Regions from separate parts of the Mus musculus genome. Here regions 1, 2, 4, 5, 6 and 7 are each reported to be linked to region 3. Evidence: microRNA targets listed by miRTarBase, many of them from high-throughput screens and not tested one by one. Region 3 holds a microRNA gene; each other region holds the end of a gene's coding sequence.

Region 1 (4,067 bases), not on the chromosome of region 3:
TGGATGAATTTACAACCAGAAATAATTGCTGCTTCTCTCCACAGGTCAGCTTGGACTCCCGAGTACGAGAGGTTATCAACAGAAACATGGTGGATCCATCCCAGCACATATTCGATGACGCTCAACTGCAGATCTACACTCTAATGCACAGAGACTCCTATCCCCGCTTCATGAACTCCACAGTCTATAAGGATTTGCTTACGTCCTTAGCTGAGAAAACAGTTGAAGCATAGGTGGTTTCAAATATATTTATTATTAACAAAACAAGAAAATAACTCATGGACTACAGCTAGCACAGGGAATTTAGCGATAGGGTGTCTTGTGCTACAGTGATTCTTGGACTGTTGTAATAACAGATTCCTCCTCCACAGAAAGCTATAGATTCACAATGGAAACTACAACTGCCTTTAGTGATACTTATCAGAAAAAAAGGGGTGGGGGGTATGAGAAAAAAGGGGTGGGGGTAAGGCTGCCTTAGAAAGATAGTGTGCTCACATTCACATAACAGTAGCATGTTCTCAAGGGCAGAGCATGTACTAGTCTCTGTTCTGCCTGCAGCACAGATGTACAAAGAGCAAATGGGAACACTTTCTTTTGCATGAGTTCAATACTGTATTACCCTCCAAAGAAACGGCATTCAAATCTTCCTCAACTAAGCCTTCCTTCATTCTGAATACTTCACTTGGTACCATGCTAGGACTGAGAGTCATATTTCACAAAGATGTGACTATTCCTTGTAAAAAATGGAAAATCTCTCTCTCTCTCTCTCTCTCTCTCTCTCTCCCTCTCTCTCTCTCTCTCTCTCTCCCTCTCTCTCTCTCTCTCCCCCTCTCTCTCTCCCTCTTTCCCTCCCTCCCTCTGTGCATGCATGCATCCAAGTGTGTGTGTGTGTGTGTGTGTGTGTGTGTGTGTGTGTGTGTGTGTGTGTGTACATACGTACGTGTATCTGTTATGGTTGGTGGAACAAACCATGCTCTTGGTGGGTCACTCTCAGACATTTAGTAAGGAAAACAACACTTAAGTGAAAGGGTGACTGTATTATCAGAATCTATCAAGCTGAAGAGTGAATTTTGAAGTCCAAAGCTTGTCATGTTCACAATTTCTCAAATAAACATATTTTAATTTTTAATGAAAGATATGTGGATATTTTCATCCTGAAAACAACAAGAGTTTTCTCTCAATCTTGTATTATTTTATCTGGCATTTCTGAGGAACACAGATCATGTAGGGATGCATGCAATCCATTTTTCACCATCCAGATGAGTGTTCTGTCTTTAGATTCCAAGATATTATGTTAATCACAGCAAATAGGATGACTTCATAGTTTACAGGTAAAAGTAGTTATAGACCTAAGCCACACTGAACAATCCCATGTCTACAACAAATGGGAAATATAACACACTGGACAGATTTCAGGTTAGACACTTAATTTACAGAGAACACACCAGCTCCAACCTTGTAGAGAAGTCTTGGCCTCCCTTTTGCCTGGTCCTGCATCAGCCTCATTGGCTTTGTTACTCAGCTCAACCCCAAATAAGACTCCTTTCCCTCATTCTCAACAAACCATCTCACCTCTAACTTTTCATGAAGCTTGTCCCTCACCCCTTACTCTGTGTATGAACCCATGAATACACACATCCCAGCATCCCTCCTCACCTCCTTCAACTCATCTCAGAGAATAATGAGCTTTGTACTTTTCATGGTGCCAGTCTCTTGCATATGGTTCTGATCCCATTTTATTCAACCATTATTTTCACTGAACAGAGGCCATAACTGCGATTCTCCAATGGGTTACGTGCCAATGGTACCTACAATGTATTGTTATAAGACCTAGAATGGAGCAAACCCAGCGCAAAGAATTTTAAGGGTTATATAAAGATTTCAGCAGAAGTTCCACCAGAGTTTAACTCTATAGAACAAGACTGTATATGTCCTGCCAATAGTTACTATAGGTGAAGAGGCTATTTGAGTGACTCCAAATGATACAGTTAAGGACATGTAAAGTATAAGGTAATTGTAAGACATATATAAGGATACTCATTTGTGTAGAGGGACCTGCATGGCCAAGAGTCTAGGCTTGGAGCTAAGTGTAGTTGCACATACCTGCATTTCTGGCACACAGGAAGCTGGAGCAGGATTTTGAATTTGAAGCTGAGATGAACTATTCAGAAAGAATCTGCATTAACAATTACAGCATAGATTCTAATATGGAGGACTGGTTTTCAGCACAGACAGTTTAGAATCCTTGGGGAGGTAAAGCATGAAGACTGCTGACAAGCCCTTGTGTGCATGGGCAGAGAGCTGAGTCTCAAAGAAGGCTTAGAAGGATTTGCCTTGTAAGAGGGAAGAAAGAACATGCAGATATGGCATAAGAACAGATGTTTCAAGGAGAGGGAAAGTAGCATTTCCTAGGGATAAGGCAACGTCTACTTATCTAAGCTTGGTCTGCTCTCCCACACTGTAAGCTTGCTCTATTTCATGCATAAGAACAAGCCTATATCTGTTAGCACAGTTAGCACTCTTTCAGTAGGCTTTCACAGCATCCCCCTACTGCCTCCACCCCATCTCCCTATTCATACTCAAACAGAAAGGTGCTCTGACTGTTCTAGTAGGGCATCTGTGGCCCTAGAGCACATCATTTCCAACCTTATCCTCCTATCATGGGTGATTTCTTCCTGGAAACCCTACTCCCATCTCTTCTATGGGTCCTCCTAGCTCTGTGTACTCCCTGAATTCTTCTCCATTCCTCTTTCAATAGTAGAACAAGTAGACAAAGCACAGGGGTTCCCCAGCCAGAGTTACCCCAACTCCATAAGCATGCCAGTAGATGAGAATAGTAAGTAACATTCTTTGGGCATGTCTTCTTGGTAGCACTGTGGGGTAATAATAGCACTGTGTGAGGATTTAGAACACACTCATGTAGATTACAGAAAATACTTACAACATGATAATCACTGCTATCACCTGTCTATTGAGAGTACTTGCTCCTGAAATTTGGATTTGGCTTACTTTTCCCTAGTGTCCCTCCTATATACTTAAAATGTACTGAATATCTACCAGTCAGGGTCTGGTCTGAAATCCCTCCTGAATTTTAGTCAACTTCTGTCTGGACATCTGGTATATCTCACAAATGAGGGATACTCAGCTTGTCTTAATCTTGACCTTCACCCTCTAAGCTTACCTCACATAATCCAGTCAGTTTTTTAAGTGTTCAGCTGGTGCTCACTTGGATTTTCTCTTCTTGTGTATTCTTCCCAAGGCTGGTCATTTCTCACTTCTCTTTTTTTCTCTTTCCTTCTCTGACCCGGCACATCTCACTTTATGACTGTTAAGAAGAGCCCCCACACAGCCAGTGGTGGCCCACACCTTTAATCCCAGGATACAGGAGTCAGAGGCATCTCTGTGAGTTTGAGGCTATGTTACAACTCAGATGGAAAGCTAGGAGTTGAAAGCCAATGAATACTGAAGAGGTCCATTAGAGCAGTTAGTGTTCTACGGGTGAAATGTGGAAGTTGGAAGTCTTCAGGGGGGAGTTTAAGTATTGCATATCTGAAGGCAGTCAGGAGCCAAGGATTACCACAAAGTCACACCACACAACAAACCTCACATAAGAGATTTATTGGGAGGGAGAAACTTAGGAGGGCAGCTGCCTCTGATTGGGTGAGAAGACAGCAGGGAACTGAGCAGTAGGCAGAACTTATATAGGATTTCTAGGAGGTGGAACTTTCCAGGGCAGAGCTTTCCAGGATAAGGATTGGTGGGGTTTCAAGTCCTGAGCTTGGGGGAGCTCAGGGATTGGTGGATTGTCCTCTTCAAAGATTGGTGGGATTTTTTTTTTCTTTTAAGGTGGGACCTGGCCACTCTACTGCCTCAGGGCTGGAAATGACAGTTACAGCTTTTAGAAAAGGACTCTTGGTGCTTTGAGGGATGTCTTGGGGGCAGGTTCGGGTTGCTGGAGTTCCAAGGCAGGGCCTGGCCACTTTCCTGCCTTGAGGGTTTACAAGGTTTATAAAGGGAGTCCATGTCAGGGAAAGTTTTCCTTGCCATTTGGCATGAATAGATAGTAG
Region 2 (4,058 bases), not on the chromosome of region 3:
TAAGTGACTGGATTTCTTTTTCCTAGCCCAAAGGGTAATATTAAAATAGACAGAAAAGTCTCTACTGCCTCCACTACAATTAGTAGGAAAGCATTTAAAATGGCTATACCTGAGGCGTTCCATACGATTCGACAGTACACTCATTGATACTGCTTTCTCTGGGGAGTTTTGGTAAATAGAAAGGCAGCAACAGCAGTGAGGTAACTCACAGTGGTGTCTGTATAACCCACTGCTCCTGTCTTGGCTATTAGCAGCAACAAACTACAGCCTGAGGATTAATCACTATTTCTGGTTTTCTTAGGAATATGCATGCCCTCTGACCACAGCCATTTTCCTCGAGGGGAAATTGAGGAAAGCATCATTGAAAACCTTGGTAATGACCACAACGCCGCCGCGGGGGATGGATATCCCAGAAGAACCACACTGACTTCAAAAATATATCACACCAAAGGTAGTAAAGGGGCTTTCAGGCTCAGCCTTTCCCATTTAATATATCAGAAGTGCATTTAGAATTGTCTCAGTGGGATGGTACAGGCCTCGCAGTAACTGTAATTTTCCTTCTGTCTCCTTCACAGGACAAGAAGGCTCCGTCTGCCTCCGATCATCAGACTGTGCCGCAGGGCTGTGTTGTGCAAGACACTTCTGGTCCAAGATCTGTAAACCTGTCCTTAAAGAAGGTCAGGTGTGCACCAAGCACAAACGGAAAGGCTCCCACGGGCTGGAGATATTCCAGCGCTGTTACTGCGGGGAAGGCCTGGCTTGCAGGATACAGAAAGATCACCATCAAGCCAGCAATTCTTCTAGGCTCCACACCTGCCAGAGACACTAAACCGACAGTCTAAATATGATGGACTCTTTTTATCTAATATATGCTACGAAAATCCTTTATGATTTGTCAGCTCAATCCCAAGGATGTAGGAATCTTCAGTGTGTAATTAAGCATTCCGACAATACCTTCCAAAAGCTCTGGAGTGTAAGGACTTTGTTTCTTGATGGAACTCCCCTGTGATTGCAGTAAATTACTGTGTTGTAAATCCTCAGTGTGGCACTTACCTGTAAATGCAGCAAAACTTTTAATTATTTTTCTAGAGGTGTGCTACATTGCCTTGTTTCTCTTGCATGTAAATTTTTTTTGTACACGGTTGATTGTCTTGACTCATAAATATTCTATATTGAAGTAATTTTGGTTTACAGTTCTTAAATGTGTAACCCTTTCTGCTTCAATGTCTAGGGGGTCGAATGTAAGGAGAAATGGAATAGTCGGTGATAGGCATCTAAAATTTAACATGAAAGTATCAGTTTATTTCCTGAGATGTGCTCTCTGCTTAGATTCTCTCTCTCTCTCTCTCCCTCTCTCTCTCTCTCTCTCTCTCTCTCTCTCTCACACACACACACACACACACACACACACACACACACATCTCTCCTCTCTAGTTCTGTCTCTCTCAGCTGGTAGTCCTTGAAATAAAATTTAACATTTAATAATCATTAAGTTAGAAGTATAGATACATTTGGGGCTCTGTGTGTGTGTGAGAGAGAGGGGGGGTTAAAATGATAAGATATATTGTCTGTGTGTGAGTTAGTTTAAAGAGAATGTATCTACATTGATAAAACTCAAATGGCTTTGGTAATATGGGCTTGAATTTGGTATAACTACCTTCAAAACTTCTAACAAGTGTGGTTGGTGCTTTTGCCTATAATCCCAGGATTTTGGAGGCTGAGGCAGAGGGATGCCCATGAACTCAGGTCCATTCTGGCCAACTCTTTCTATAGAACAATGTTCAGTTTCAAAAAAAACATCAACCAAAAGTAGTTAACAACCAATTAATATTCACCTAAGTGACCAACAGTTATTGGAAGGGAGGGAATGCCCAAGCAAGTGATTCCAGATGATGGGCAGAATTCAGAAGAGATTATGCAGAAGGAAGCCTGCCAACTTAAGCCAAATAATTAATTCTGAATATTTTAGATCCTCTGACATGCTGAAGAATTGTTTCAATCACTTTGATTTAAAAAATAATTACTAAACAATCATAAATTCTAGAATGTAACACTTCTCTTGCCAAGAAATTATTTCATTTTTTGCTTCACCTGTACTCCATTGATTGGAATGAGAATGGCTTTATTAAAAAAAAAAATCCCCGAATTGAATTCTCTCTGCATGTTTTCTCACTAAATTTCATATTTCTTTGCGGGGCAGGACAAAACAACCTTCCTAATTTATTTATTCTCTAGTATTCTGGAAGTCTGCATCAAAACCACAAAATGCTGGGTTCACTATTCACAGGATAGTCGGGACTGACTGATTGTCCCAACATTTTCCTTAAATAGCATAGCTGGCCTAGAATATTCATCTGTTTCTGTGTTCCCGGAAGTGGTTAATTTTCAAGGGAGACATGCAACCGCGTATGCACTCCGACTGGGGCTCTCAGAGAGGAACTCTGGCAGGACTTCAGTGGCTGTGGCCCTTTTGTTCACAGGTCTCTGCTTCTTCATCCAGAGAAACTCTCTAAGTGTGTTCATTGCCTCTTGTTCTAGGAGGGTGGATCTCGAGGCCTGCCATCTTCAGGAGTACCCAATAAGAGGAAAGGTCAAGGGGACATTTTTGTAAAACAGGAGGAAGAAGGGCTTTCTAGGAGAGGAGTAGGGCAGATGCTTGCTGCACTCTGGTTACTGGATCCTCTATGCAGGGGCCTGCTGGAGTGCGGATACCTTTTTCTGTACATCTCACTGAGCATGTTAAGTTTCAGCCTCTCCTGGTGACCCTCAGGTTGAGGCCAGAGAGACTGGTCAGTTAACCTCCATCTACCTGGGATCTTAGGAGGTCAGTACCAAGAAAAGGAAATCTACGAATATATAGAATATAAATTTATACTATATGTTGTATATGTTTTGTAGAATATAATATAGTATATAGTATATATGTGTATAATATATTGCATATATACGCATAATATATTGCATATATTATAAATACATATATATATATGAAGATGAAAAATCAAAACCATAGGAACTTTTTAATTGAAAAATTAGAAGAGGGACATTATATACCACACAATCGTTAAACGGGATCTTAGGAGGTCAGTACCAAGAAAAGGAAATCTACGAATATATAGAATATAAATTTATATTATATATTGTATATGTTTTGTAGAATATAATATAGTATATGGTATATATATGTATAATATATTGCATATATGTGCATAATGTATATTGCATATATTATATATACATATATATATATGAAGATGAAAAAATCAAAACCGTAGGAACTTTTTAATTGAAAAATTAGAAGAGGGACATTATATACCACACAATCGTTAGATGGGATCTTAGGGGATCTAGAACTTGTTTGTGATAGCTGGTTCAAATGCTTTGTGATGGTTGACCCCTAAACAATGTATCTGACTTCTTCCCCATGAGAATATTTCACCAGCTAATTTACCATTTTAAGCTTCCATAGGTTACACACTGCCTCGCACCTTGCTCTCTCTGCTTTGAGTGTCTTGACTACTGTCCTACACAACAAAGAGTGGGCGACTCAACCTGTGAGTGGCTTGCATTAGGTAGAGGCTCTCTGATTTACTCAACCAGGTACCAAGAGACAATCAGGTGGTTTCCAGAGTGACTTTAATAACTATTGTGCCACAGGCATAAAATCCTCCTGTTTTAATCATAGTATAGTTGAGTTTTGACACAAAATTTCAAATCAAATGCCGTGCTTTTTCTACCTACTCAAAGTCTGGCATGGCCACAGTAGCCACAGTAGATTCTGATTTCTGTGGTGATAAACTCTTAGGAAAATTTGTTGAAGGGAGGAAGGGTGGGATAGAAGCTTTACTTAAACTTTTTACAGTAAGCATCAGTCTCTCCTACTAGGAGAAGGTTAACCTCTTTTATATCAAAGTGGTTATACAAGTCCCTCACCTCTATCTCATGTTCAGCTGGAAGACTTGAAATGTGTTTCCTCTTTTTAAAATTATTTCTTATTTTTAACGTTATAATATAGTTACATCATTCCATCCTTTCCTTTCCTCCCTCCAGTCTCTCCC
Region 3 (4,067 bases):
ACACATTCTGAGGAGTACAAAACAGAGCACAAAAGAAAAAAAAAATGCCATTGTCCTTCAAGGACCTTTGATTATCTACCTATCTTTTGGGTTGGACCTCTGAGCTTCAGACAAGTGTTATTCGTCATCTCTCTCATACCTTGGTAACTATCATCATTGGTCCAGAAATGGCTTGACCTTTCCTCGTTCTCATAGATACTATTTACTGGCTAAGCCAATAATTCACTAGCAATGCTGGTGATACACAAATATTCAACAGGAGCACAGCTCTCTGATATATTCAGACTGTAGTATTCACAGCGCTATGAAGAAAGTGCTATGAACCATCTTCAGACATCGTATTTACTCAGGACACAAGCCCATCTTCACCCCAAAAGACAAAGTAAGAGTAGACCTGTAGGATTCTATTTCATGCTTTGTAAAGTTACAGCCATAATAACCAAAACATCGACAAAATGTATGGCTTTTACCCATGTTTACCTTGAGGCAGTCATTAAACATAGGAAATCCTGCAGTCAGCTCTCAGAGGCGCGATGTGGGGAACAACAAACAAAACAAAACAAAGCATTTGTTAAATGACTTTTAAAAGCAGATAAAAGAGCAACAGCTTTCAGCTTTGACTTACAGAGCCATATATCTAACTCATGACTAAATAATATGAATGATTCCTTATGTACTCCAGAACGTAAACTTCGGCTATAGGATGTAATGTTTGCATTATCATTAATAAAAGAATAAAGAGTAAGGAGTTGCTCCACACAGACCCGACTCAGGACAGGGTGGTAGGGACTTATAACTAATGTGGTGGTCAACCATATTATTTTCCTTCCACCTTTTCCCAGGGGCAGCTGTGTTGACTCATATGAAGTTTCTGTTTTAATGTTTGAGGGTCACTCACTACTCATAGAATGTATGCTGTAAAAGATTAGTGAGTGGCACACGACCCTGGACACGTGACAGACTTTCTCAATGTCATTATCATGGACAATCCAAGCCAAGTACAGTAATATGTGATTGTGGCTTCAAGTTTAGAAGAACCTAACAATTATAAATATGAATCACAATATGGAAACAAACTCTAATATGCATAGGTTGTGATATGCTAAAAATGATTTTAACATATATAACATAAATTTTCTGAGGAAAAAATGGAGACTATAAGGTTAATACGAAATAGAAAAGAAATTGAAAACCTCTGTGGCAGCTGGACTGTGCTTGGTTTCAATTTTGAAGTTAAAAGCTATTGCTGTATGATTGATCTTACACATGCCACGTGCACAAGAACTATGTGATATGACCATGGGGTTTTACCATGATCTGCCCGAAATGTGAAACTAAAGTGAATACCAGTTGTAGTGGTGCTGAAGGGACATCAGAGGAACTCTCTATGACAGGAAACTTTTGCAATGACATCAGTCAATCAGCCTCTGTGGAAAATGAGAAAGACCTGTTAGTAAGCCATTAAAAAAAAAAAAAAGACAATTCACAGGACACACAAGCAGAGATTCACTCTATGAAACTGGGTGTACTGCCCCCTTTTAATGAACTTAATGAATCTTATCAATGATAGTTCACTTGACTGATTTGATAACGAATACCTGTCAAGACCTAGAACCAGACTCCATAGGAGAGAGAGATGCTGATTTGTGACATGCAGACTTGGGGTGGTGGTTCACCATCACCAGGTCAGCCTTTCTGAGGAAAACAGGGGAGAAAAGGGACAGAGAGTGTTGAGACTGTGGGTCACCATGCCATGTTCTCCACGGTGACGTCACTCAGGCTGATGGGCTTTGCCTGAGCTGTACCTGTACATTTTCTTCCCAGAAAAGACTAATTTCTTTCCACTTGAAGGAAAAAAGAGCTGGGTCCCCTCTATGCTCTGGCATGCTGCTTAGGGTCAGCATCTCAGTACACCTATTTCTCAACATGCCCTTTGTGAGGTCCCCATGCAAGGTTGTGGTTCTGCACAATTTAAACCAACTTCGACTACCTGTCAGCCATGTTTCCTTGCTAATGGAACTTACAATGGAGGGCAGTTCAGCTCAAGTGGCTCTGTACCTGACTTCAGATTTCTCTTGACATGGATGCCATCAAGAAAAATTCAGATGCCACCAGATCTCATCATTGTTCTGGGTTCCCCTCTCTCAGAATTGACTCATTCTTGGTAAGTGTGGCATCACACTGTGTGATCCACAAGCTAGCACTAAGTTAACACTTTCTACCCATATCTGCTTGATCACCGATGCTTTGATTAAATCTCCATACCTATAAGCAGGTGCGCACAGAAGGAACAGAGCTGGAGTTGACAAGTCACCATGGGCTGTGGACTGTTGCCATGGCATCCCAGGAATTGTCCATTATCCATAACTCTACCATCACTAGAGTCACCTTCCTGGAGGGAAGAAGGCAGAAAAAGGAAAGGAAAATTGAGACGCTGTCCCTACATTGTCCCAAAATTGCTGCATTTCAAGCATGCTATCTTGTAGGCTTTCTCTCAAAAAAAAAAAAAAAAAAAAAGTGGGTGTGGCCTTAAGGCTCCTCTGACGAAATTCCATGGGAATATTTCAAGCTACATGATCAAAGAGCAATCAAGCCCTCACCTCACACCACAGGTCCACAAGGGACGGGCATAGACCTATGGGCCTCCATCCAGAGCTTAGCTCTTAGCAAGGCATCAGATTTCTGGATACTTGGCGTTCATGGAGTATCACTCAAACGCCACCAGATCTCATCATCGGTCCTGGATGGGGCTCCCTCTCTCCCTAGCCAACTGCACACCTTAATTGCTTAGTGGGTGCTGAGGGCAGAGCTCTGATCACAGGGTACTAGAACATTCTGTGTGGCAGCCCCTGAAGAGCAGCCATTAGAAAAACCCAGAAATCAGGACTAACTATTGCACTAATGCGCTAACTCTCTCCTGGTACTGCTGTAAGGAAGACACAGTTTCCTGCCACTAAACGTACCTGCAAGCTGGTGGGCAAGGAAGATCAAGATGTTGCCTCTTGGTCGGCAAAGCTCTGAGATGTCACAGTGGTGATACAAGGGTGGTTCTATATCTCAGCATGCTGGTACCATCTGTTGGGTCGCCATTTCTGCAGGGTACAGGGCAGAGAGGAGAGAGTCAGTGTTGAGACTCTGTGGGCCACCACCCCATGTCCTCCCCATTTACGGAGCCAATGGTCATGAGCTGGGCCTACTTTGCACTGAAACTTTTTTCCCAGGAGAGACTAATTTCTCACCAGGGGCCAGAAAAAAGGATTGGACCAAGAAGAGGCTAAGGAGTCCTCCATGGGGTCAGCCTATCATCTCCCCAATCTATCAACATGCCTCTTAGATCTCCCAAGCCATGCTGCTCCCCACCAAGCCCTAGGTCATGGTCCTACCAACTATAACCCGACGTTGCTTCTCTGGAAGTCCTTGCCTAATGGAAACTGATCAGTTTAAGGAGCAAAGGTGACACAAATGATCCCGCTTTCCTCGATCTCAGGCTATTAGTTAGCACCACAAGGCACACAGCTGAAGTTGCTCTGTGCCTGACCTCAGACATCTGTTCTCATGGCTGTCATCGAGATACAGTCAGATGCCACCAGATCTCATCATAGGTCCTGGGTTGGGCTCCTCTCTCTTGAGGCTTCAGGAATGGCTCATTCCTTGGCTACTGTGGTACACTCAAGAGACCACACTGTAGGAGGCTATCCTGTGCTGTGGGGGGGCTTGACACTGCCTGGTCCGCAAGCTAGCATGAAATTAACACTTTCTCTCCATAGTCTGCCTGACACCCATTTTATGAAGAGACCCTCCATACCTGTAAGTCAGTGCCACACAGGAGGATCACAGCTGGAGTTGACATGTCACCATGTACTCTGGATTGTTGGCAAAGCACCCAGAAACTGTCCATCACAGCAAACTTCTCATATCACTTGGGTCAGCTCTCTGGATGTTGGAAGGTAGAGAAAAAATAGAACTATTGAGACATGCTCCCAAGTTTGACCCAGGATTCCTACATTTCAAGGGCACTGTCTTGTCAGCTTTATCTCTAAGGGAGTGGTTGTGGAATTCCAGCTCAT
Region 4 (4,064 bases), not on the chromosome of region 3:
ATAACTGAAGATGGGGGTCTCTGTAGATATATATTCTGGCTAATAAACACAGAGACTGTAATTAGAACATCGCTACTTTGTAACCTCTGCCATACAACCTCTGTAGGGAGAAGGACACAGTCACAGGTGACAGTTCGAACACATCTCTTTCTTTTTGACAGGGCAGCCCAGTAAGAGCCCAGTGGCACAGATCTGAAATGACACTATCTCATCTAACTATAAAAGCTAGGAACAAGGAGCCACGGAGACTTGAAAGCTGGGTGTGTCCTTAGGCATTCAACTGCCCTTCTCATAAAAGCTTGGGGGTTCCCTGGACTTGAAAGAAGAGAACATGAGAATTTGCATTTAAGTCAGGGAAGTGTGGCTCACCTTCTATTTGTACAGCTTTCCAGTCCTTTTGCAACAAAGTGTCACACACACACACACACACACACACCGCCCCACTCTAACCCATGAGAAAGGCAGCCCATGTTTGCTCAACCCCACTTTACAAAGCTCCCGCTCTTCGAAGCTGACAAGCCAAAGTAATGGACCCACCAAGCTGCCTATGAGAGTGAAAGGCAGACAGAAGTTAAAGATCACCTTAGGGAGGGCAGGGGAAGTCCCATTTCCTTCTTGAACGGAAATTTTTCCAGTGTACAAAGGGTCTTAGTTGCTCAGTTAACAGTCTAGCTTCATTTTAACACACTCCTTGGAATGACATAGATATACCAGGCTGGGTCTCATAGAGGACAAAGCTGTTAAGGATTCATCCACTTGTTTTTTGGTCTTTATTTTTTAAGATTTATTTATTGTAATATGTAAGTACACTGTAGCTGTTTTCGGACACACCAGGAGAGGGTGTCAGATCTCATTATGGGTGGTCGTGAGCTAAGGCTGAGCCGCCCCACAAAATTTTTCCAGTTCACAATCTAGGGATTCACAACCGGATCAAACATCATGCAACATCCACTACCCAAGCAGCATCGTTAAAATAGAGCACATTTTAAGGGGGTTGGCTACACTTCCAGTCACCCAGAACCCAACAGGTTGTGGCTTAGATATAAAAGTCACATTAGTCGGTCCACAAGAAATGTGTCCGTTTCCACTCCGATCAGCAAAGTGGGCACTGAAGATGCCAACCTTGCATCCAGGGAGCAAATCCTTTTTTTTTTCTTTTTCTTTTCTTCTCTTTTCCTTTCTTGACTTGAGCCAAAATATGGGCATCTTATATTTGTGTGTATATGTCACTGCTGTCTCCCTGAAGGCCTGTATCCTCCCTATGGTCACTGTGACCTATGTGGAGTTTTTACCTCCAATGATTTTCTAGCTGCCTTCTGGAGTGGGGCCTGTGCTGCTCGGTGGCCAGGAATGTTACAAGACTTCAGACCTACCTGGGAGGAAGAGGAAGGGATGCAGATGCAAAACTAACGGAGAGAGCTGTCAAAAAAAAAGGTCGAAGGGCTGGCTCTGCAGAAGCAGATAAGCTTGGCGAAGAAAAAAAAAAGTGCAGCTGGAGAAACAGCTGGAGCTCAGTGGTTAAGAGCACTGACTGTTCTTCCAGAGTTGCTGATTCAATTCCCAGCAACCACATGGTGGCTCACAACCGCCTGTAATGGGATCAGATGCCCTCTTCTGGGGTGTCTGAAGACAGCAACAGTGTGTACTCACATAAATATTTTTGTTTTTAATAAAGGGGGTCGGGGGAGCTAGAAAAAGCAGAGGAGGCAGTGAGGCCAGCCCTCAGGACACAGGCCCCGCCAAACCTGAGAAGCCCGGGCCTGTCCACAGAATGAGTTCAGTTTGGCCTCCGTTCCCAAGCGAGCTGTCTACCCTTTGTGCTGTGCTATGGTTGTCCAGCCCCTCAGGGCACCTGAGTCTAAAGGTAACAACGTGTTGTAGGGGACACACAGAGACCCCGCAACCCAGCCCTCCAGTTTCAGGAGGCTCTTGGAGAAGAACCCCACAACATTCATATGCACACAATGCAATTTGCTTGACCAGAAAAAAACCATATATACATGTATATATGTAATTATATATATAAAACTTTATTGAGGAGCTTGAGAAGTGATTAGAGTCAGTACTAATCTTCGAGGTTCCTCCAATCCTGGCAGTGCATAGGGACTTAAGTTTATGTTGCCATAGATTTTCTTAATATTCACATCTGCCTCCTGTTCTTTGTAAATACCTCTTAGATTACTCAAAATATGTTTAAAAATAAATATACAATTCAAATATATATATATATATACATTTGGCCATTTTAAGTAATATATATTTATATATGTGTTTTATATACATCCCTCCATGGTTTACTGAAGCCTATATATTCTTTTAGGTACTGGGAACGACATCATTAAGGCTAATGGTGGAAAAAAAAACAAAAAAATACATACCAAGGATTATTTTTTCAGTTTCTCAGCAAAACACAAAAAGAAGAAAAATGGTTTGGTTTTTAATTCCAAGTGTTTCCAATTTTTCAATGTAAGGTCAACATTTGTTCCTATTTGTATAGAGCCTGGAGAAAATGCAGAGTCAATCACTATCACCTGTTTAAAGACAACTGGCTTAAGTTTGTGTGAAAGTGGGGAGATGCAGATAATTGGCCAGTGAACCCTTGTACAGCTGGACCCCACTTGACCAGGAGGCCTGGGAGGGGCTCCCCGGCCCTGCATGAGCCTCATGCTCTGTGGACACCCCATCAGACAGTGGCTCCATACAAGCCCGAGGAAAGCCTTGATCTGACTCTAACGTTTACAGGAGCTCCAGGGGACAAACGCAGCAGTAACAGCTCAATGCTTCCGTGGTCTCTCTCCATCCGCTCCCCTGTGAACTCGCAGGAGGCCAGAGCAGCCAGTGCCGAGAAGCAGTGCCGAGAAGCTGCTTCTGCATGCACGTCAATCATCTCCAGAAGGCAAGAGACCACGCCCAGAGGTGCTGGGGCCTCACCGGATGCCCTGACTATGGAGCAAGCACAAAGTATTAAGTCCGTCATTTTGATTTTATAAAAATGAACTGCAATGTGTGAGAAACTAAAACACTTGGTTAAAGCACATGGCTGAGTGCTTTCCACACTGAACCATGGCTTGGGCTGACTTGGGACAGGTGACTACCAAACCCTTTAAAGGTAAAGACTGATGCGGATGGAGCTGAGGGTCACCTGAAAAGGACCTGTGGATGGTTGTACTGCTGTAAGGACCAGTATCAATTGTCATCTCCCACTTCACCTCCTGACAGAAATTTCTCACCAAGATTCTAATTACAGTATAATACTAATTAGATCATTTTGTAAAACTATTAATACTAGTGTTTGTGAAACTGAAAACAATCCCATCTCTCCCTGTGGCTGGGGTGGGGGGGAGACGGAAGGAGGGAGGGAGGGAGGGAGGGAGAGAGAGAGAGAGAGAGAGAGAGAGAGAGAGAGAGAGAGAGAGATGCTAGGAAGCACACTGGGGCACAATGGTCAGAATAGCAACAACAAAAAAAATCTGGAAAGATAAATGAGAAACCAACAAATATTCAATTGACATGAAATACAGGGAAATCAGAAAATGCTGATTCGCCTTCGCTGTACCACGGTGGTTCAGTCACCATGGCTCTTCCAGACGACTCCTTGGAGACTCCGTCCTTATGAACTGTGCAACATGATTAGGGAGGTTCTGTCTTTAGCTCTGCCCAGAAATAAGCGTGAGCTAATATAAATTCAAATCACAAACTACTCAACTAAGAACAATGTATCCAATCTTGGAAAAACTTGGGCAAGCGCCTGCTAACCTTTGGATCCAGGCTTCAGACTTGCAAACACTTTGGGGTTCTTAAGGGCAAGCGAGAGCTCGTTGAGGAAGGAAATAAAATGGGAGTCTCTCTCAGATTTCTTTGACTCAAAAATGACGACGATGGTGAAGTGGGGTTCCGGGCGGGTCAGGAAGTAGGTGCTCTGGACTTTGTCGTCGTAGAAGTGGACCACTTTCTCCAAGCTGTTCAGGTCAGATGCTCGGTCTGTCATGATCATGATAACATTGGGCCAGTGCATGACGGGCCTGTCACTGGGCAGAGACACCACGGCTGGGTACTGGTCCACT
Region 5 (4,067 bases), not on the chromosome of region 3:
GATAGCATCAGAGCAGAGTCACCTCATCTCTCAGCTCTTCAGAGAACTTCCACTCTCAGCTGAGTTTTTGAAGACAGTGGAATACACGAGGCTGCGCATTCAGGAGGAAAGGACTTTGGCTGTCCTGAGGCTGTTGGCCTGCCTGGAAGGAAAGGAGGGTCTCAGAGCCGAAGACTGCCCTAGGGAATGGAGACAAGTAATGGCCCCAAGAACAGAAGCAGCATGCTGAAGAAAGGTGGCTGGGCCTCAGCTCAGGTCTGCAAGACACATACATGGTGGACACCAATTGAAACTCTTTTCCTCAGGTGCCTCCCCACTTCTGGGAGTCTAGGCTTCTGTCCCTTCCTACTGAGGACCTTGTCTGCAGCACACTCATTCAAGGCAACCCAATTAGTTGCAGCTACCTAGGAAGTGAAGCTGCTGTCTGCAGGTTTACTGTCTCCAGGTGCAAGCCACCTGCAGGCCTGAACTAGTCAGTTCTATCCCAAAGCCAGCGCCCATTTCCCCATACACTGACTGCATTGAATTCAGTCTTAGCTTACATGTCTCTCTCTCTCTCCCTCTCTCTCTCTCTCTCTCTCTCTCACACACACACACACACACAGTGCTCTTTCTCTCTCTCTCACACACACACACACACACAGTGCTCTTTTGTTTGGTTTTGTTTAGCAAATACCTATTTGGTCATATTTATAAACTTTTATTCCATTTTAGTAAAGGGTATGTTTGATTCTGGGAATATTAAGAACCTACAACATGCAAATACTTGCATTTTACTATCTACCTGCCCAAGTCCTTCAGTGGTCCATATTAAGAGTCCCCACTGTCTTACCCAGAAATGCCTGCGAAGGCTAGGAACCCTTGTCACCCATCACTGGCCTCAGCTATTGGACAGAGCCTGGGGAAAGGGAAGCCTGAGCAAATGCTTAATTCATTCGGTGCCACCACTGTACACCGTCCTGTGATTGGTGGAGACAGCAGAGTGCCAAGAAACACATTTACCCACTTTAGGTGATTCCATATAGAAACCGGAAGGGTTTGTCACTTCAGGCCCAGCCCAGCTGGCATCCTCGAACACCAGCAGGTGGCGCTCTTGCACACATTATGCTGCTGGTCTAGCGCTTTTAGCCTACTCTTTTAAAACTTTTTAAAACTATTATCAGCACCTGTACATGATAGGAGGGCACCCATGCCCCAGCATGGATGTCTGAGGAAGTTGAGGGACAACTTTATAGAGCCAGCTCTCTCCTCCCGCCTCTGCATGGGCTTCAGAGATCGACTCAGGCTCAGGCTTGCAGAGCACGCACGTTTATCCACTGAGCCGCATCATGTGGCCCAGCTTACCATGCTACGTGTGCTTCCAGAGTACGTGACACCCGCAGACGCTTGCCTTCAATTCACGGCGTGGATGTGTTGCTGTAGTGTGATCCACATTCCCAGTTATCCACAAAGACCATGCCAGCCATAGAAGGAACTTGTAGGGCCTATAGCTATGTTCAGATACTTCTCAGTGAGTAGTCACTTAGAATCATGAGGAAAAGGGAGAGAGGCATTCTATATGCTAGCTCCTCCTGCAGAGACGCTGACATTTCACATGTAATTGGTCTCAGAAGAAAACCATCCTGCACCACAGAAACACGGCTGTGCTGGAGTAGAGACCTGTACGCAGGGAGAGGGAAGTCAGGAGCTGTGTCCTTCCTGGCCATGAAGAGGAACAGAAATCCCCTGGGTGGTCTTAGAAACACTCAGCACCCTGGGGTCTGTGTGGCCCTGTAGTAATTACCTAGTTAGGCAGTGCAACCCACTGCTGATGAAAAATTGAAAACCTAACATTGTTTAGTTTGTTTTGGGCTTTGCTTTTAGTTTTCTGAGTCAGGCTTGCTATTTACACTAGGCTGGCCTCAAACTTGTGTTAATCCTCCTGCCTTTGCCTCCTGAGTGCCAGGATTCCAGGCATACACCACTATACCCAGCATTACACTACTTTAAGATCTAGTTGGTGAGAGGGGCTGGTGGTGACAACCTTGGGAGATTAATTCTGAACAGGACCCAACCTTCCCTCTCCCCTTCCATCTAAAATGAAATAAAAGCAGTTACATGACAATAAAACCATCTCACATTGGCAGGCATGCTGTCCCAAAGCATGTTTCAGAGCAGGCTTATGTTATCTCCAAGTCCATCCTACCAAGTCTGCCATTAGCTGGGACTTACCCCAGACTTGGATCTTGGCTGGCTGTGGCCAATCTGGGAGGACAGGAGGGATGGATGGCTCCACAGGTGGGCTTGTATCTGCAATCCTGCTAGCAGTAGCTAGGGGAACGACTGCTGCATGCTTTCCTGAGAGAAACCAGGAAAACCTTAGTCACAGCCTCATGCTTACATTTGGGGTCCTTTCAGCCACAGAACCCAGCAGTAATAGGGGCAAGAGCAACGTGGGTGGGAAGAGTGAAGCAGCCATCTTCCCTAAGTCACTACACTTGAGGGTCCTAAGATCTGGGTGGCCCCTTGCTCAGACCACAGCCAAAAGCCAGTTTGCTTTAATATATAAGATGGTGAGGGCTTTGTTCCTTTATAGGGGTATGGTCTCACTCTCACACTAAGCTGTGCAAGGCTAGCCTAAAACTCACCACAGTTTGTGATTAGTGCTAGGACTATAGGCATGAACCACCGTACCCAACCCACTCAGCACTACGTCCAAGACACTACAGTCTTCTGGCAGCCATTGGCTCTACCTACAGGGGCAGCATGCACTGCAGTGTGGCCAAATGCACCTGGACTCAGGAGCCTTTGAGTGACAGATCTACCTCCTTAGCTTCAAGGTTAACTGATACAGCCCAAGTGCACACTGGACTGGGTCAACCAGACAGGAAGAGCAACATGGGAAGGATGTAGTTGGTCAAGCAGCCTTCTCTGGCAACTACTGGGCCTTCCACCCAGGGCAACCCGGACTGCCAGCTGGGTGAATTCATGGGCCCAACTCCAGCTTTTGGCAGCCAGTATGAAGTGTAGGGATAAAGGGTTCTGGACCTGACCAGATGGGCCTCACGGGGTGGGGGTGGGGGTCGCTAGGTGTGTGGAGGTGTGTGTGTGTGAGACCCCTCTCAAAAAGAGCCAGGGGCCTTCTGGGACTGCTTTTTCCATGGAAAGCTGGTAGGAGTTGCACTAAAGGCAACCGAATGAGGACCTCTTTCCCCCAACCTGGGTGGTGGTTCAGCAATCACCGCCTCGCCTCCGGCAGCTCACACAAAGCTTAGATTCAATGCCGCGCCTCCCACAGCAGAAGGAGGAAGGTTGCAGGATTCGACAGGCCAAGGCTGTACAGGCGGGAAGCCTTGGCTAGGAGCTGCACCCACATCCCCGAGAGGAGGCCAGGCCAACCAGCAGGCACAAAGGTGAAGGAAGTGACTTCCTCTATGTCCACACTGCTCCTCCGACTTCCCTCTAGTCCCCTGGAATAGGCTTTCCCGCCCCGGACACCCCGCGCCACTCGGCGCCTTTGGCCCAGGCTCAAGGTCTTGTGATGTGATTAGCAAAGCCAGCGCCTTGTCCTCAGACACTCGGCTCTGCCCCACAGGCCGCAGCGCTCAAGTCCTGTTTACTGAGCCTGGGCGGGGAGAGGGGCGGAGAAACGCGCCAATGCTCCTCCAGGCTGGCCGCTCCCGCCCCCACCCCTACTGCGTCTCCACGTGCAGCCGGGCCGGAGCTGCCACCTACGGGACAGGCCGCGACCCCCGTTCCTAGTCCCAAGCAACTTGGCCAAGCGCACCATTGCTGTTTTGCTGTTCCCGCGCGCGGAGCAAAAACTAGGATGGGAGATAAAAGCTGCGCCAGTCGGCCCAGCCGGATCGGGCGAGGAAAGGCACGTCCCGGGTAGCCCCGTCCTGGGCAGATAGAACGTGTACGTGCTTTCCAACGTTATACTCGTAGAGGCGGAGGAGAGCGAGGTATTCCCGCCGCCGCCACCCAGCAGGACCCAAGGGGGCCGCACGCCCCACGCCGCTCGGGACGCCCAGGCTGCCCGCCCCTCCCCTCCCCTCTCCTCCCCTCCCCCGAAGGGGAAAAATTGG
Region 6 (4,067 bases), not on the chromosome of region 3:
ATATAGAATGCGGGAGATGGACTGGCAGTTAGTAAAATAGCATCTTGCTTGTGGAAATGGTAACTGGAAACTTCAGAGTAGCATCCTAGGCTGGAATTATGGCATCATAATTATACCTGTTAATGCAATCCAATCTCTTCTAAATGAGAACAATACAGAGAGGGGAACATGGAGAACAATGGTGAGTATTGCTAGGATACAGCCTTCCTCCCAATTTATACATCTGGCTGAATATTATTCCAATAAAATTGCAATAAAACCTCAAATTCTTTAGCAGAAGCTACAAGTGTGCTTTATTTCTGTCATATTGGCTCAGACAAGATTCACCCTCATTGACGGCAGATCTGAGTTCTTTTGGCATTGGTGGAACCTTTAGTAGGAAGGCAGGGTCCTCGTGAAATACTGCTTGAGAGGACTAGAATAGAAGAAGGTAATAAGAAAGGGGTTGATGAGCTTTGTGTGATGGGAGAATAGACACAACACCCGTGTCTTTTGCTAAGTTCAGTAAAGTGGCGAGGGTACACATAGAGCTATGTTACAGTCCATTCTCTTCCTGCCCCTTAATATATATTTTTCTCTCTTTTAAAATGTTTGTTCCCATAGATCTATCTCCCTCAACCAGCCCTTTGCCCCGACTCTGTGTATAAGCTGATGCTCAGCTGCTGGAGAAGAGAAACCAAGCACCGGCCATCCTTCCAGGAAATACACCTCCTGCTTCTTCAGCAAGGAGCCGAGTGATGATGCATCAGCACCTGGCAGTGTTCCTGTGGCCCAGATCCTTCCCACAAGACCTACTGCTCACCCACATCTAAGCCACTCCAGCTGGACATTCAATGGACCCGAGAGACAGAGAATTAGTCACTCTGCCCTCTCTGTCCCTTGCCTCCTCCACTACACCTCCCTGCTCCCTACTATTGACTCATATATACTTTTTTACATGAAATAACTAAAAGAAGAAAAAAAAATATAGAGCAGATATTAGTAAAAGAAATGTTACTTGATATACCAAATGGTTAGATAATGAAGACTAGAAACTCAGATAATTTATAAAGGTTATGCTTCTGTTTATAAGTGTGCAGATCCTACAATATTTTTCCGTGTCACTTTCTGTAAAATACCTTTAGAAAGAAAAACTTGAAGAATATGAATGTCTTGAGAAACATGAGATTAGGCTTAAGGAAAATACTTAGAGGTAATGAAGAATTGCAGGACTTGGCATTCCACAACAAATGGATGATTTTCTGATTTGGACGTGACTCTCAGATCTCTCTGTCTCTGTCTCTGTCTCTGTCTCTCTCCTCTCTCTCTCTCTCTCTCTCTCTCTCTCTCTCTCTCTCTCTCTCTCTCTCTCTCTCTCTCTCTCTCTCGTCAAAGTGAGTGGCATGTACTTAAAAACCTCTATCTTGTGTCTTGGAATGAATGTTTTCTTCAATCATGGCCAGAGATCAGAGCCTACCCATGAAACAGGGCATATGGATAGAAAGAAATGTCTGTTGTAAGGCTTGAAGTAGGACACAGAAAGGGAAAGATTGCACAAGCTTCCCGGTAGACCATGGTCATAGGAAAGAAGGTCCTCGGAGGATGACTCGCAAGTGTACTATTTGTTGTTCATCTGTGAGGGTCTTCACCTGTGTGTTCTAGTGACAACTTGACTTTACTCTGTAAAGCCTCAAGTTTTGATATTTTAATGGTTGCTCCATCAGTTCCTCTTGTCCAGTTCTATATCTTTCACTATGTGATGCCTTTGTGGGATTTATAGACTAGGGCTTCAACTTCTCAGGCACAAGTATCCAATGTCATGTCCAATATACAAGAGATATGTTTAGAGTGTTTCCAAAAGTTTGGCCAAGACCCCTGGAAAAAGTTATAGGAAGACTGATTTCCACTTTTGGGAAAATATGGAAATAGAACATATGCAGGTGGGGGTTTTCCCAGAGATGGGGAATCTCTCATCTCCGAAAAGTTTCAGATACTAGCTGAAGAACTCTGCAGGGAAGAGGTTGTTGACTACTGGGTATATATGTATGGGATAATAAAAGGATGACCATTTGGTGTTACTGAAAGTGCTTTTGCCAAAGAGAGGGTGGCCAGCGGCAAAGCATGAAGTTCTTTTCTGGCTTTGGGATTCACGAGAACTGATGCATGATCAAGCAGGAGTCACCTTAGTGACTAACTTAGTGACCCTAAGTTTTCATCCTTCACAGACTCTAAGATTCAGCAGCAATCTACACTACAAAACCCTTAAATCCTATAGAGGAAACCAAGCTGAGGTAAAATAGTGGTGATCTGCTTCTGTCTATCCAGTCAGCTTGCTCCATGGTCTCTTAGAAACCTGAGAGCTTCTTGGTTCAGCCTTCAGCATGGCTACAGGACACAGCAGATGTATAACTCTAAGTCTTGACATTAATTTCATAGATCCCATTCGCTCACAGCACATTTACCTCCTCTCCCATGGCTTTTCTACCATTCTCAGCAAGACTAACTTCGATCCCAGAGGTAGGAGAGAACATTGGATTGGGAACTCTGGCCCTGTGCTGCCTCAAGCCAAGTATGTCATTTTCCCAAGTCTTGCTTCTCTCTGAATTTGTTTTCTTATCTGTCTCAAAGGAAAACCGAATCTATGATTTAGGAATCTCTTGGAGTTTTGCTTTGTTTTGTGCTTGCTGGAGAACTAGATTTGTGGTTGATGTAGGTTCAGTTACTGCTCAGACAATTGTGGCCAGTAATAGTGATCCCGAGAGACATCATTTAAGTAAGAGCAACACCTGCATTATATCTGCTTTAGAGTGACCAGTGCTGCTTCACGTTATCTCATTTGATAGTTCTAGGGCCAGACATGTTTCTTTCACAACTCTTGACTATATACTCTTCAGGATTCTGCCCCCAGTTCACTGTATTCCTTTACAAATGAAATTTCCAGGACTTTGCTTTATGGAACTAATCTATCCCAGATGGCTATCAAATATGTATCTTCATGTACAGGCACTTTGTTTTTGGTATGAAGAAGGTTCCACCTTCTGGCACTGAAACCTTTGTATTACAGACACAGGTTTAGTTTCTAGTTACACTAGTAGAGTTTAGCAGTACAGGTCTGAGTAGCCAACCATGGTAGAAGGTAAAGACTTACTCTGTAGACAGGTAGCTCAAATCTAAACTAGGGAAATGAAGGTAGGTTTTGGAAAAGAAAGCAGAAACAGATGAGAAACTGTGGGATCTTGTTATTTCCCCAAGTAACTCGTGATCACGATATATGTGAACCATTTATGTCAAGATGTCCTTTAGACTATCATATTTCAATTTATACCTTTATTGATGAATGCATACATTAACCAGGTCCATTTATGTTTTTATTATTGGGGATCATACCCAGAACTCACATTTGCTAGGCATGGGTCCTGTCATTGATCTATGTTCAAATCTTGATCTGGTGACCAGATAAATGTGTAACCATGTCACATATGTGACCTGGAGTGGAAATGAGTGCCCAGAGGAGAGCATGCATTGTTGGAGCTGTGGAAAGATTGTCTGTGAACGCTCAAAACTGTAATACAAAAGAGGGCTGTATGCAAGTATGTGAGTAGTGTTTTTTTTTTTTAAGTTGTTACATGAATGTGTGTGTGTGGCTGGAAGGAGAGGATGGGTAGAAAATAAGAAAGAAGGCACAGTGAAAAGAGGCAAGGAGAGGTTCTGGGGAAGATATGGGGTGAGGCAAGTCAAACGTGGTAGAGACAGGGTTGGCTGGAGGCCATGAAGTCAACGCTGATGCATGCCAAGAGATCTGAGAGAGGTTAGAAAAAGTGACTTGGGAAGAATGGAGGGTAGGTAAAGGAGAAATGCTGGGTGAAGGAGCCTGTCTTTAGTAAATCGATGTCAGGTACACCGTAGGTAATGCAAGGGATTTTTGTAGAGTTGAAGAAGGACATGGTCTTCATGGATATAGAAACATGTGGCCACCAGAACCATTAGGGAGTCACCTATTCATCTCAGGAAGTGGGTACAGAAGGCATTTCGCTCTCCTGTGGGTTCTAGACCACATGTAGGGTTGGTGACAATGCTGTCTGCGCACT
Region 7 (4,067 bases), not on the chromosome of region 3:
TTGGACTGAAGTCTGTGTAAAAAATTAGGAGAAGGCAAAGGTGGCTTTTCAACAGGCATGGGGACACAGTGGTTCTTTATTAACCAGAGGACCCAGGATAGGATGGGCTCTGGCTTGGGAGCAGCCAGTGCCACATCCACTCTCAGAAATAGGGCACCTCCCTCCAGTCAGCTCTGCTGTGGTTGGGTTGAGGATAGGAGAGCATGGGTGGGTGGAGACATGGAGGCTGCTCCTCAATCCTGGATAGCTGGGAGCAGCAAGTTGAGCCTCTCCCTATCCCTCCACAGATGGGTGACTCTGAAGTAGCCAGAGCCAAAGTTCAGGTCCCCTGCTGGATGCTCACCTGTGTTTTCTCAGTTATCTGACAGGCTAGGGGATTGATGCACTTACAGAATGCAGAGGACAGGAAAGAAGGGGGTGGGGGCCACGCTAGAAAAGAGTAGAGATTTCCTATTTCTGCTTGATTTTTTTTTAAATACCATAGACACATCAGAAACACCTATGTGAGCCAGAAGAGCCAGCCATGGAAAACATAACCATTGCATAGTATTAAATGAGCAGAGACGGTGAATTCTTTATTTACAATTATTGTCTAGATAAAAAAATTCATAAAAACAGATGAATGGTCATAAATTATTGACCCCCTAATGGGGTGAACTGCCAAACGTATCCCATGCTGCTAGATATAGGACGCAGAAGTGCAAGCTTGTGTATTACAGTGAGTTCTGACAAACCAACCATCTCCTGTGTAGGTGTGTGTGTGTATGGAAGAGTGTGAGAGTGAGGGGCTGGGGCATAGGCTATCTCTCATTCCTGACACCGGGAAGCCAGCACTAATGTCAGGCCTCCTTGCTAGTTTCCTCTGCTCCTGTCTGAGAACCTGGCTCTGCTCAGAGAACCCCTTCCTCTTTGCCCTGGAGGCCTGGTTCCAAAGCCCGAGGACCCCGGTTTGTTAAGAGCAAGAACCCTGGTGGCATGGAATGAGGTCATAGATGCATGGTTGAATGAAGGAGGGCAGGATGAAAAATGTGACAAAGGACTCCCCACCAAAAGTCCCAAACCAATCAAACAACAACAGCAGCAGCAGCAACAACAACAACAACAACAACAAAACCAAACCAAAAACCTATCCTGTTCCAAGGCAGCCCCGGGTTTCCTTCCCTCCCTTGGAGGGGTACTATGGACTGGCTCTGGTGGTGTCTGTACTGGAATCCAGTGAGTACATCTAGGGCTGGTCCACCTGCTGGAGAGGTAGCTCTCTCTCTCTCCTGGATACAATCAGAATCCTTCAGAGATATTCTTCCTTATAGAAAGATTATGGCCAGGTGGGATGGGCAGACTTTGAAGCCCAAACCAAGAACTCAAGTTTTTCACAGCCATCCAGACGTGGGCCCTCCCAGCTGACTATGGCTCTTTTCCCAAGTGGCTGTCATCTTGTTTAGTGAAGAGGTCTCTGGGCCTGGAGGAGGGCTGGGGGGCCAGGCTGAAGAGCGAGGAGGAGCGATTGTGAGGAGGGAGAGAGTGAAGGATGGAGTTCACAAGTGAGGCGGAAAGTGTTTGATTTCCTCGAAGCACGGGACATCATCGGTCATGGTATTCAAAATGTCTTTTGCACTGTACAAGTTTATGGAAAAAGATTGTATGCTGAAAAGTCTCAAAGCAAACTTTGTATTAAATACAAAAGTTCTTTTATGAAAAAAAGCTGAGACCCACAAAGTGCTTAGCAGTAAGAGGCCGACAGACAAGCTCTTATTAAGTGGGATAACTAGTGCTGTTATTGTTGGGAGAGGGGATAGCCACCTTTTCTCACCTGTGATATGGGAAGATATCAGAATGGCTTTCTGTCTGGGAAAGCAGGACTTGCTGTTAAAAGGCTACAGTATATATTGTAACTACAGGAAGACAATTTGGTTTAAAAATCACACTGAATACATCTCAATGTACACATTATAAGGTTCATTCGGATCTAAATAGTGCAGAGAAAAAAGGCTATTCTTCTTCAAAAAGAAAAAAAAAAAAAACAAAAGCAGCAAGCCGTACCAACCCTCATCCAGTATGTCAGCAGTGTCTATGCTGCCGTTTATAAGAAAAGAAACTTCTAAATTACTAACTAAAAAAAAAAAAAAATTCAACACAATAGCATTTGTAATATCTGAACACTACCTTGACTCACAGACAGTGCCAAAGACAACTCAGTTCTGAAATGCTCTCTGTAAACTCAAGCGAGTTTCATTGAGAGAAAAGTCTTCCTTCTCCGGGTGCACTACAGACGTTGACGTCACCAGACCTGGACGGCCGTGTTGCAAACCCAGGAAGCCTTCTCTCCTCTTCTCCCTTGTCTACGGTGGAGTGAGCGAGCGCGTTGCTTAGCTCCTCAGGGTGGATCCTTGGGAGCCGTTGGCTTTCTGCCTGAGCTTCCCACAGTAGTGACATTATTGAACGGAAATAGCAGGCAAAAATCAGAGCATGGCTATCGTAAAACTTCAAGGATGCAATCCAGGGGATGTGTCTGTTGGGCCCGAGCTGTTTGTAAGCATCTTGGCCACCAGTGTCCTTAAACCACACAAATAGCCAAAGACATTATCTACAGGTTTGTAAACAAATTACATTCTTCTTTTAGGACATAAGTTAAAATAGAGCAATTTAAGCAGAAACAAGGCAACATGCCGGCAAAGGAACTTTATATATCCATGTATATATATGTATATATATATATATATAATATCTACTTATCTATACGCACGTATACAGTCTTCAAGAAGTATACGTTGATATAGATACAAAGAAACGGATATAACCTCGTGAGTGTCTGTGGAGTTCTTGGGTTTCATTGGTGCAAACCTACTCTGTGATTTCAAAAAGTTATTAAATTAATCTAGACATTTGAGACCATGCTGGGCAAGCATTTGAAACCTCATAGACCAGTGGACTGAACGAACAGTAGTCTCTGTTCCAGTTCCTGTTTGCAGTTCCCGCCTAAGGAAACAAACAAAAAACTCCCCTCCCTAGCCCTCCAAGAACCAAATGAGGGAGGGGATTAATAGTGTCCAGGTACATTCATGCTGGGGCCACGGTGGCCGGCGGGTGCATGGCTGGTCCGTGTCTGGGCTGGAGCCTGGAAAGGCTCTTTTTTTTTTTAATTAATTCGTTATTATTATTTTTTATGTTTTGGAGAAAAAAAAATCCACGCCACTCTCTGCTCCAGATGACCCCAGGGCAACCCCGCCCAAGGCCTAAGGAGTGAAAAAGAGTTCAAACAGCATGGCTGCCAGAGAAAGGTCTGGTTCCCTCTCTGCTGTGTGGGTTCCGCCCAGTGCTCCTTGCTGTGTCGGGGAGTTGGTGCCTGGAAGGGTGTGCGCCTGGAGGCGGGTGGCGGCGGGTCCATGAGCGTGGCCAGGCGACAGGGGCCTCAGCTAAAGCGACGTCTCCAGGCTGTGGATGGGGCTCCCTGGACTTGAAGAGGTAGCTGATTTGCTCGTGTCGGTCGTCAGGTTGATCCCGCTGTCGATGGCGCTATTGTTCTTGTTGAGCGAGGACGGCGGGCTCGAGTTCTGCTTGAGCGCGGCATCTTCTTCCAGGTCGGTGTCATCGATGAGGGGGATGTGGGGCTGGGAATCTTCGATCCGGAATTCAGGATGAGCCATGAAGTTATGGATGGAGGTTCGAGACTCGGGTTTTTCTAACCCTTCATAGAGAGAGCTACGGAACGCCTTCACGACGCGGATCTGCAAGGGAAACACTTTGGTCAGGAGTGGGCTGAGCCCTTCTGGGGACTTGGAGGAGGGTTGGGGGAGGGGAGGGCACGCAGGCGGCTGGGATCCACAGTCGTTGGTGTTATGAGCATCGATGGGGACGGAGGGCAGAGGGCTTGGGGGATGCATCCATGAGTTGGTTTTTAAGTGGCTTTGGTTTGGGTCAGAACTATGGTGTTAGTGGGGACTATAAAAGCACCACCACAGAGATGCTTGGGGTAGTTGTAAACAGGAGCATGGTCCACTCCGAAGGGCACCCGACCTAGTGAGAGACTGAGCCTTGTTAATGTCACAGCAGAGTCTGACCATGCAGGG

The links. Region 3 holds the annotated microRNA mmu-miR-882 (AGGAGAGAGUUAGCGCAUUAGU, at 2,898-2,919, opposite strand). A microRNA usually pairs through its seed, bases 2 to 8, with sites in the 3' UTR of a target mRNA and lowers its output. Matches are read on the target gene's strand: a 7mer-m8 pairs with bases 2 to 8, a 7mer-A1 pairs with bases 2 to 7 and ends in A, and an 8mer does both.
Region 1: miRTarBase lists Rgs20 as a target of mmu-miR-882. Seed matches in the 3' UTR shown: 7mer-m8 at 778-784, 7mer-m8 at 802-808, 7mer-m8 at 820-826 and 7mer-m8 at 834-840.
Region 2: miRTarBase lists Dkk1 as a target of mmu-miR-882. Seed matches in the 3' UTR shown: 7mer-m8 at 1,344-1,350 and 7mer-m8 at 1,421-1,427.
Region 4: the mRNA of BC048403 is a reported target of mmu-miR-882. Seed matches in the 3' UTR shown: 7mer-m8 at 3,371-3,377.
Region 5: miRTarBase lists Thada as a target of mmu-miR-882. Seed matches in the 3' UTR shown: 7mer-m8 at 554-560 and 7mer-m8 at 1,243-1,249.
Region 6: the mRNA of Ddr2 is a reported target of mmu-miR-882. Seed matches in the 3' UTR shown: 7mer-m8 at 1,293-1,299.
Region 7: the mRNA of Atp2b2 is a reported target of mmu-miR-882. Seed matches in the 3' UTR shown: 7mer-m8 at 1,515-1,521 and 7mer-A1 at 1,245-1,251.

Annotation. Positions count from the first base shown.
Region 1 is chr1:4,906,640-4,910,706 of GRCm38, reverse strand. Rgs20 (regulator of G-protein signaling 20) reads left to right here. Exons shown (of 5, transcript NM_021374.5): 5 at 45-1,131. The coding sequence ends at 233. Among named protein-coding and RNA genes, the nearest start is that of Tcea1, 51 kb to the right of the region's middle.
Region 2 is chr19:30,543,956-30,548,013 of GRCm38, reverse strand. Dkk1 (dickkopf WNT signaling pathway inhibitor 1) reads left to right here. Exons shown (of 4, transcript NM_010051.3): 3 at 302-451; 4 at 576-2,138. The coding sequence ends at 829. Among named protein-coding and RNA genes, the nearest start is that of Dkk1, 3.5 kb to the left of the region's middle.
Region 3 is chr12:109,681,059-109,685,125 of GRCm38, reverse strand. Mir882 (microRNA 882) reads right to left here and starts at 2,929; the gene lies at 2,853-2,929. It overlaps AF357341 (a small nucleolar RNA gene), which reads right to left and starts at 3,607; the gene lies at 3,533-3,607. Gm22981 (a small nucleolar RNA gene) reads right to left here and starts at 2,742; the gene lies at 2,669-2,742. It overlaps Gm25856 (a small nucleolar RNA gene), which reads right to left and starts at 2,132; the gene lies at 2,058-2,132. It also overlaps Gm23787.
Region 4 is chr10:121,750,807-121,754,870 of GRCm38, reverse strand. BC048403 (cDNA sequence BC048403) reads right to left here. Exons shown (of 3, transcript NM_173022.3): 3 at 2,006-4,064. The coding sequence ends at 3,752. Among named protein-coding and RNA genes, the nearest start is that of BC048403, 13 kb to the right of the region's middle.
Region 5 is chr17:84,188,113-84,192,179 of GRCm38, reverse strand. Thada (thyroid adenoma associated) reads left to right here. Exons shown (of 38, transcript NM_183021.3): 38 at 1-2,124. The coding sequence ends at 229. It also overlaps a transcript of Gm36279 not described here. Among named protein-coding and RNA genes, the nearest start is that of Gm36279, 2.0 kb to the left of the region's middle.
Region 6 is chr1:169,974,526-169,978,592 of GRCm38, reverse strand. It overlaps Ddr2 (discoidin domain receptor family, member 2), which reads left to right. Exons shown (of 17, transcript NM_022563.2): 17 at 604-4,067. The coding sequence ends at 738. Among named protein-coding and RNA genes, the nearest start is that of 3110045C21Rik, 7.2 kb to the right of the region's middle.
Region 7 is chr6:113,745,124-113,749,190 of GRCm38, forward strand. It overlaps Atp2b2 (ATPase, Ca++ transporting, plasma membrane 2), which reads right to left. Exons shown (of 20, transcript NM_001036684.3): 20 at 1-3,725. The coding sequence ends at 3,414. Among named protein-coding and RNA genes, the nearest start is that of Sec13, 6.5 kb to the left of the region's middle.